Linked DNA regions of Macaca mulatta. The protein of the gene in region 1 interacts with the protein of each later gene in a biochemical or structural test. Links are inferred from orthologs where the notes say so. Each region holds a gene or a part of one and is shown in the gene's direction. Other genes may lie near its edges.

What was found.
Region 2: of the proteins of SIK2 (region 1) and CRTC2, one has a biochemical effect on the other in vitro, tested with the Homo sapiens proteins (2 studies listed by BioGRID). The link is inferred for Macaca mulatta from reciprocal best matches to the Homo sapiens genes SIK2 and CRTC2.

What each region holds. Positions count from the first base shown.
Region 1 is NC_133419.1:112,460,070-112,463,880, forward strand, and holds part of SIK2 (serine/threonine-protein kinase SIK2), read left to right. Parts: intron 1-2,475; coding exon 2,476-2,704; intron 2,705-3,560; coding exon 3,561-3,811. UniProt on the Homo sapiens protein: Serine/threonine-protein kinase that plays a role in many biological processes such as fatty acid oxidation, autophagy, immune response or glucose metabolism.
Region 2 is NC_133406.1:113,081,487-113,085,297, forward strand, and holds part of CRTC2 (CREB-regulated transcription coactivator 2), read left to right. Parts: intron 1-780; coding exon 781-882; intron 883-958; coding exon 959-1,075; intron 1,076-1,634; coding exon of another isoform or gene 1,635-1,637; coding exon 1,638-1,699; intron 1,700-2,345; coding exon 2,346-2,414; intron 2,415-2,585; coding exon 2,586-2,689; intron 2,690-3,139; coding exon 3,140-3,169; intron 3,170-3,323; coding exon of another isoform or gene 3,324-3,338; coding exon 3,339-3,403; intron 3,404-3,527; coding exon 3,528-3,577; intron 3,578-3,710; coding exon 3,711-3,811. UniProt on the Homo sapiens protein: Transcriptional coactivator for CREB1 which activates transcription through both consensus and variant cAMP response element (CRE) sites.

The sequences.
Region 1 (3,811 bases):
CTAAAGGATTATAAATCATTCTATTATAAAGATACATGCACGAGTCTGTTCGTTGCAGCACTATTCACAACAGCAAAGACACGGAATTAACCCAAATACCCATCAGTGATAGACTGGATAAAGAAAATGTGGTACATGTACACCAATACTACGCAGCCATAGAAAGGGTTGAGAACATGTCCTTTGCAGGGACATGAATGGAGCTGGAAGCCATTATCCTCAGCTGAACGGAAAACCAAACACCACATGTTCTCACTTATAAGTAGGAGTAGAATGGACACATGAGGGGAACAACACACACTGGGGTCTATTGGGGGGTAGGGAGAGGGAGAGCATCAGGAAGAATAGCTGATGCATGCGGGGCTTAATACCTAGGTGATGGGTTGATAGGTGCAGCAAACCACCATGGCACACGCTTACCATGTAACAAACCTGCACATCCTGCACATGGACCCTGGAACTTAAAAATTGAAGAAAAGAAAAAAGAGCCTACTTGTATGGCTTATCCTATAAGAAATGTCTTTTGACGGCAGCCGTAAGTATAAGGATGCTCAATAGATAATTACTTAATGATCTTCTTTTCTCTGTTGCCTTATTCATTTCTAAACCATTCTTGGCTAGTTTTAGAAAATTGTATTAGTAGAGAGTTAAGGAGCTTAGAGGTATGAATATAAGTTCTCAAACAGCCATTCTTTCTTGCAAGGAAACTATTAAGTTTAGTCAGAAAGGAAAGTTTATCTGGGGAAGGACCAAGGAGAGAGTAAGAGTTGCTGGCCAGGTTTCAGAGTTTTGCTTTCTGTTGCCATGGGGAAGGTTGGCCAATGTGGAAAGGAAGCATTTGCCACTCTTCCTCTTAAATGACCACTCATCACTTTAAAACCCTGTAATGCATTAGCCACCTTACCCGAGTGAGGGCTACAGCCCAGAATGGATTTTATGGAATAACCTTCCCCTCCCTGCAACAAACAAAGATCTGAGTCACCCGAGTCTCCTTCTCCAAATAAAGGGCCTCGCCGCGCCTTCAGATTGGCTGCCGTAAGAGGAAAGTTTCCTGTGTGTCTGGCAAAGGGAAACCCCACGCCACCTCTCACATACATGAGCTTCTCCTGCTTCCAAAGGAAACAGCAGCTCTACCCAGTGTTTTCCAGGTGAAAGTACTGCTCAGAACGAAGCGTCTTATTACTGGCTGTTCCCGAGCAGCTATTCATAGGAGAAAATAGATTGATTTCCACGGGGGAATAGTTAAGGTAATGAGGTAAATAATTACCTCCTCACAGGGGCCTTTCCAGCCTGAACTTGCAACCACAAACCCCCCCACTCCCACCCTGCCGCCGGTGTGCTGTTCTGCCTGCCATTGGGCGGTTTGCGTGGCAACTGCATGGGAAGGGCCAGTGCTTGCAGGGAGCTGTGCCGCGCTCACCCCTGTGGGATAGGAACCATCCATAACGTATATGTTGCTGCAGGAGACAGAATTCAGTGCCCTGGGGCTTATTAGCCTTTGCTGGAATTTTGGGCCAGTGAGCCATTTGTTGTTCTACAATGGAAGGCTTTGGCTGTCTGCCATTTGAATTTTTTTCAATCCTTTTTGTGGTATCAGTCTGTCTATATAGAATTCTTACTTTCCATTCCTCAGGCACAGAGAACCAATTAAAGACTAGAACAAATGGGCAGGTACTTAAATTATGAACATAAAAGTCTTTCTAAAACCTTCCAGTATGTTTGTGGTTGAAAAGGTGACTACCCCCCCCTTTGTTTTTTTTTTTAGCAGTGAGCCATGCAGTTTAAAAAAAAAAAAAAAACTCATCTTCCCCCTCTTCATTTCCCTTATTTAAAAAAAAAATAACCGGTAGGCCTCAAACTAATATACCCCTGTTCTTCTGGAAACCACTAAAAAAGTTTTTTATTGGCCGGGCGCGGTGGCTCAAGCCTGTAATCCCAGCACTTTGGGAGGCCGAGACGGGCAGATCACGAGGTCAGGAGATCGAGACCATCCTGGCTGACACTGTGAAACCCCGTCTCTACTAAAAACTACAAAAAACTAGCCGGGCGAGGTGGCGGGCGCCTGTAGTCCCAGCTACTCGGGAGGCTGAGGCCAGAGAATGGCGTGAACCCGGGAGGCGGAGCTTGCAGTGAGCTGAGATCCGGCCACTGCACTCCAGCCTGGGTGGCAGAGCGAGACTCCGTCTCAAAAAAAAAAAAAAAAAAAAAAAGTTTTTTATTTTAATAATGATGACTCAGAGAAACCTGGGCAGCAGTGCCAGTTCAGGTCATCACGGGCTTCTGTCTCTCTCTGAGTCCTGCAGTTGACTCGCCTTCACTTCTAATCTATGTGTGTTGTCATTCATAATAAATATGTGCATGTTTAAATATTTTACTTAATTTCTAGTTTTCCACAAGTCTTGACATGTTTTCCTTTGTGGATTTTTCTGTCTCAGCAATGCAGAAACTGAGTTTCCTCTCTCCCCTGGCGTTTAGGTCAATGGCTGTCTGCTTGACCCTGTGCCTCCTGTCCTGGTGCGGAAGGGATGCCAGTCACTGCCCAGCAACATGATGGAGACCTCCATTGACGAAGGGCTGGAGACAGAAGGAGAGGCTGAGGAAGACCCCGCTCATGCCTTTGAGGCATTTCAGTCCACACGCAGCGGGCAGAGACGGCACACTCTGTCAGAAGTGACCAATCAACTGGTCGTGATGCCTGGAGCAGGTACGGTAGAGGAGCGACACTAGCTTAAGTCTTCATGGCATCATCTCATACTCCAATCGCCAACAAGTGGTCATGATGCCAGCCAACTCCTAAAATTGAATCGATAGCTTATTCCTTTATGGAGCAGATTCAGCAGGCATCGCAGATGCAGCCTGGCAGCAGCTATCAAAGGTGAATTGAAATGTCTCAGAGTTGGCTCCCGTAGTCCCCAGGATTCATCTGGGTGCCACATGATTCATCAGGGACTCTGGCTCTTTTGGAGTGGCTGTGATCTTACAGTCTTTTGGACTGGCTGTGATCTTACAGTCTTTTGGAGCGGCTGTGATCTTACAGTCTTTTGGAGTGGCTGTGATCTTACAGTCTTTTGGAGTGGCTGTGATCTTACAGTCTTTTGGAGCGGCTGTGATCTTACAGTCTTTTGGAGCGGCTGTGATCTTACAGTCTTTTGGAGTGGCTGTGATCTTACAGTCTTTTGGAGCGGCTGTGATCTTACAGTCTTTTGGACTGGCTGTGATCTTACAGTCTTTTGGACTGGCTGTGATCTTACAGTCTTTTGGAGCGGCTGTGATCTTACAGTCTTTTGGAGCGGCTGTGATCTTACAGTCTTTTGGAGCGGCTGTGATCTTACAGTCTTTTGGAGTGGCTGTGATCTTACAGATGCCACTTCTGGAGTGTTTTCCCCACTAAACTTGAAGATGACTAAATTGGCCAGTAAAAAGTAAACCTCTGAAAAGATGTTTTGATTGGAGATTAAGGACATGGTAGCTGTCAAGTCTCAAGCTGGTTATGCTTTGTACCCTATGTTCCAAGAAGATGCTATTGCTGTTGGTTTTATCTGTTCTGTTTTCTCTTAAAGGGAAAATTTTCTCCATGAATGATAGCCCCTCCCTTGACAGTGTGGACTCGGAGTATGATATGGGGTCTGTTCAGAGGGACCTGAACTTTCTGGAGGACAACCCATCCCTTAAGGACATCATGTTAGCCAATCAGCCCTCACCCCGCATGACATCTCCCTTCATAAGCCTGAGACCTACCAACCCAGCCATGCAGGCTCTGAGCTCCCAGAAACGAGAGGTCCACAACAGGTCTCCAGTGAGCTTCAGAGAG
Region 2 (3,811 bases), on another chromosome or scaffold:
GTCAAACAGTAGTGATATCATTGATGAGGGCAGTCTGCAGATGGGCTCTGGTGGGTTATTTGCACCAAATCTCAGTGGACCTTTCAAACCCCAACACTGGCCTTTCTTCTGGAAGATTATTTCTTTATTTTTATTTACTTTTTTTTTGGAGACAGGATCTCACTCTGTCACCCAGGCAGCTGGAGCAGAGTGACATAAACACGTCTCACTGCAGCCTCTACCTCCCAGGCTCAAGCGATCCTCCTGTAGCAACGGAGTCTTACCGTGTTGCCCAGTCTGCTTTCCAATACCTGGGGTCAAGCGATCCTCCTACCTCTGCCTCCCAAAGTGCTGGGATTACAGGTGTGAGCTACTGTGCCTGGCCTAGATTTTTTTTTTTTGAGACGGAGTCTCGCTCTGTCACCCATACTGGAGTACACTGGCGCGATCTTGGCTCACTGAAAGCTCTGCCTCCCGGGTTCACGCCATTCTCCTACCTCAGCCTCCCAAGTAGCTGGGACTACAGGTGCCCGCCACCACGCCCAGCTAATTTTTTGTATTTTTAGTATAGACGGGGTTTCACCGTGTTGGCCAGGATGGTCTCGATCTCCTGACCTCGTGATACACCCACCTCGGCCTCCCAAAGTGCTGGGATTACAGGTGTGAGTTACTGTGCCTGGCCTAGATATTTTAAAAGCAGTGACAGCAGCAGCATATCCTGGTGACAGAGATGGCAAGGATGACTGAAGGAAATAGTGCTCAGGACCTTCCTGACATTCCCACTTGTTCCCCATGTCTCAGTTACAGGCCCAAAAACTGCGACTGGCGTACACAAGGAGCTCTCATTATGGTGGGTCTCTGCCCAATGTTAACCAGATTGGCTCTGGCCTGGCCGAGTTCCAGGTGAGTAGACACCAGCCAGGGAGGAGTGGAGGTTCTTTAGGCTGCTTCCTCTGCTGACTTCTGTCCTTTTTGGCAGAGCCCCCTCCACTCACCTTTGGATTCATCTCGAAGCACACGGCACCATGGGCTGGTGGAACGGGTGCAGCGAGATCCTCGAAGAATGGTGTCCCCACTTCGCCGATACCCCCGCCACATATCCTTCACAGGGGACTTGGGAGTGTCTGAAAGATAGTGGGATGGGGTTCCTCAGGGACTTATAGGAAGCACTTGAAGTGTTGTGCAGTCCCATCCTTCTCCTGGAGCTCTTCTTTACCCAGCTTCCCTGAAAACAACCATAGCTCCTGCATCAGCACCTGGTCCTGTGATAAGGAGTTTTTGCTCCTGAGGCTGTGCCCCCTGTCTCTGGCTGGCTCTGGCTGTCTTCACATCAGCTTGCTGCCAGAGGCAGCCTTCCTTGTCTCTTGCTAAAGGAGATTGCGTCCCTTCTCCTCACATTTCTGAGTTTTCAGTCTCAGAGACATGTGTACCTGTATCCTCGAAGTCCTGCCTGGACATTCTCCTGGATTTTTTTCAGCCCCGTTAGACCTGATTCCCTTCTTCTCTTCCATTCTTTGATCCTATCGTTGTCCCTTATAGAAGAGGAGAAAGGTATGTGTTTCTCAAAACAACTTATCTGCTGCCTCCACTGTTCTTTCCTCATCTGGCCTCTATCTCATCTGTCCTCTCTACTTTTTTCCTTAACTGGTGCTGTTCACATTGACAGCTCTCCCTACAGTCCTGCCTACTTATCTCCTCCCCCAGAGTCTAGCTGGCGAAGGTAAGTGTCCAGGGCAGGCGGAAGCTCCTGCCTACTCTCTGCCATGTTTCTGGAGGGAGCTGCCCCTTCTGGGTTGGGGCTGGGATTACTGAGCTAAGGTTTCAACAGTACCTCTTCCTATAACGCCAGGGCTGAGAGAGGTGGAGGCAGTTGGAGTAGGTGGGTCAGAGTCCAGCCTTGGCCATGTTGACACGAGTGGTCAAGCCTCCCAGTCCAGCTAGAGCAGAACCAATGGGAACTGTAGCCAGCTTGGGGTGTGTGTGTAAGGGGGAGGGGAGAATGGCAGAGGGGCAGGTGAAAATGGTGACCTTCTGTCAAAGGTGGGTGCAAGATGTAGTGCTCTGGCACTTTTAGATTTCTGAAACTCTCCCCTTGTCCATCTCACCTTCAGTGCTCATACCCAGAAGAGCTGCTGGGCTCCAAGATTCCCATTCAGCTGGTCCTGGCAGAGAGGTTTCCAGCTTTCTTAGATTGACTGGGGGAGGGGTCAATCATAAACAGGAGAAGAAACAGAAAGAAAAGGGGATGATCTGGGTGCCTAGCCATCTTCACTTCCATCTTGGCTGCCCCACATTTTCCAACCCCTATACCCACCTTCTTGTCCACTGCCAGCCTTCCTCCTCATGACTTTGTTTTTCTACCCCAGGACGATGCCCTGGGGCAATTTCCCTGCAGAGAAGGGGCAGTTGTTTCGACTACCATCTGCACTTAACAGGTGATGGCCTTTGCCTTCTTTAGGCCACATCTCCTCTTATCTGTAGTTTCTGGGGCCCTGTTCCCTCACCACCCCCCATTTCCAGCCCAGCTAGTGTTTTCCCTTGCTGGGCAGGGCTTAGGGACCAGGAAGACTGTCACTGGTGTCAGCTCATTCCTGCTCCCCCCATAGGACAAGCTCTGACTCTGCCCTTCATACAAGTGTGATGAACCCCAGTCCCCAGGATACCTACCCAGGCCCCACACCTCCCAGCATCCTGCCCAGCCGACGTGGGGGTAAGTGGCCCTGTCCCAGGGTTGGGAGTAACCACGGAGCTATTTATTTATTTATTTATTTATTTATTTATTCATTCATTCATCCATTCATTATTATTTTTTGAGACGGAGTCTCACTCTGTCGCCCAGGCTGGAGTGCAATGGCACGATCTCGGCTCACTGCAACCTCTGCCCTCCGAGTTCAAGTGATTCTCCTGCCTCAGCCTCCCGAGTAGCTGGGGTTACAGGCGTCTGCCACCGCGCCCAGCTAATTTTTTGTGTTTTTAGTAGAGATGGGGTTTCACCATCTTGGCCAGGCTGGTCTTGAACTCGTGACCTCGTGATCCACCCGCCTCGGCCTCCCAAAGTGCTGAGATTACAGGTGTGAGCCACCACGCCTGGCCTCCACGGAGCTATTTAAAGCAGGTAGGCAAGTGGGCACTGCAGCCAACGCCACTGTATCCCTTGCAGGTATTCTGGATGGTGAAATGGACCCCAAAGGTATGTGTTCCTCACTGCTGTGGGTACTGGATGCCAAACAATTTCTGGGCTGGTGTTGGGATTGTGTGCAGGTTCAGGGAGCAGGACTCCTTCCCGCCTGCTTCTGCTTCCTGTCCTGCCTTATGGGCTCTTTCTCCAACTCTCCCATCACCAGTCTTTCTCTTTCAAGTACCTGCTATTGAGGAGAACTTGCTAGATGACAAGCATTTGCTGAAGCCATGGGATGCTAAGAAGGTAGGTGGAGGCCACCGGGTGTCACCCACTAGTCTCTCTGCTATCCCCTTGCCATGGGGCAGGCCTTCCAGGGTTCTGCACTGAGCACTGTCCTCATTTTCCATATTCTTCCTTCTTTCCTCAGCTATCCTCATCCTCTTCCCGACCTCGGTCCTGTGAAGTCCCTGGAATTAAGTAAGTATTCCCTGAGGTTGGCTGAGAGTTGGGGGAAGGAAGTACAGGGAGATGTAGAAGACTGATCTCTGCTCTTCCCTGACCACCGCACCCCACTCCTATTTACATCTTTCTTTTTCTCTCCTTCCCCTAGCATCTTTCCATCTCCTGACCAGCCTGCCAATGTGCCTGTCCTCCCACCTGCCATGAACACGGGGGGCTCCCTACCTGACCTCACCAACCTGCACTTTCCCC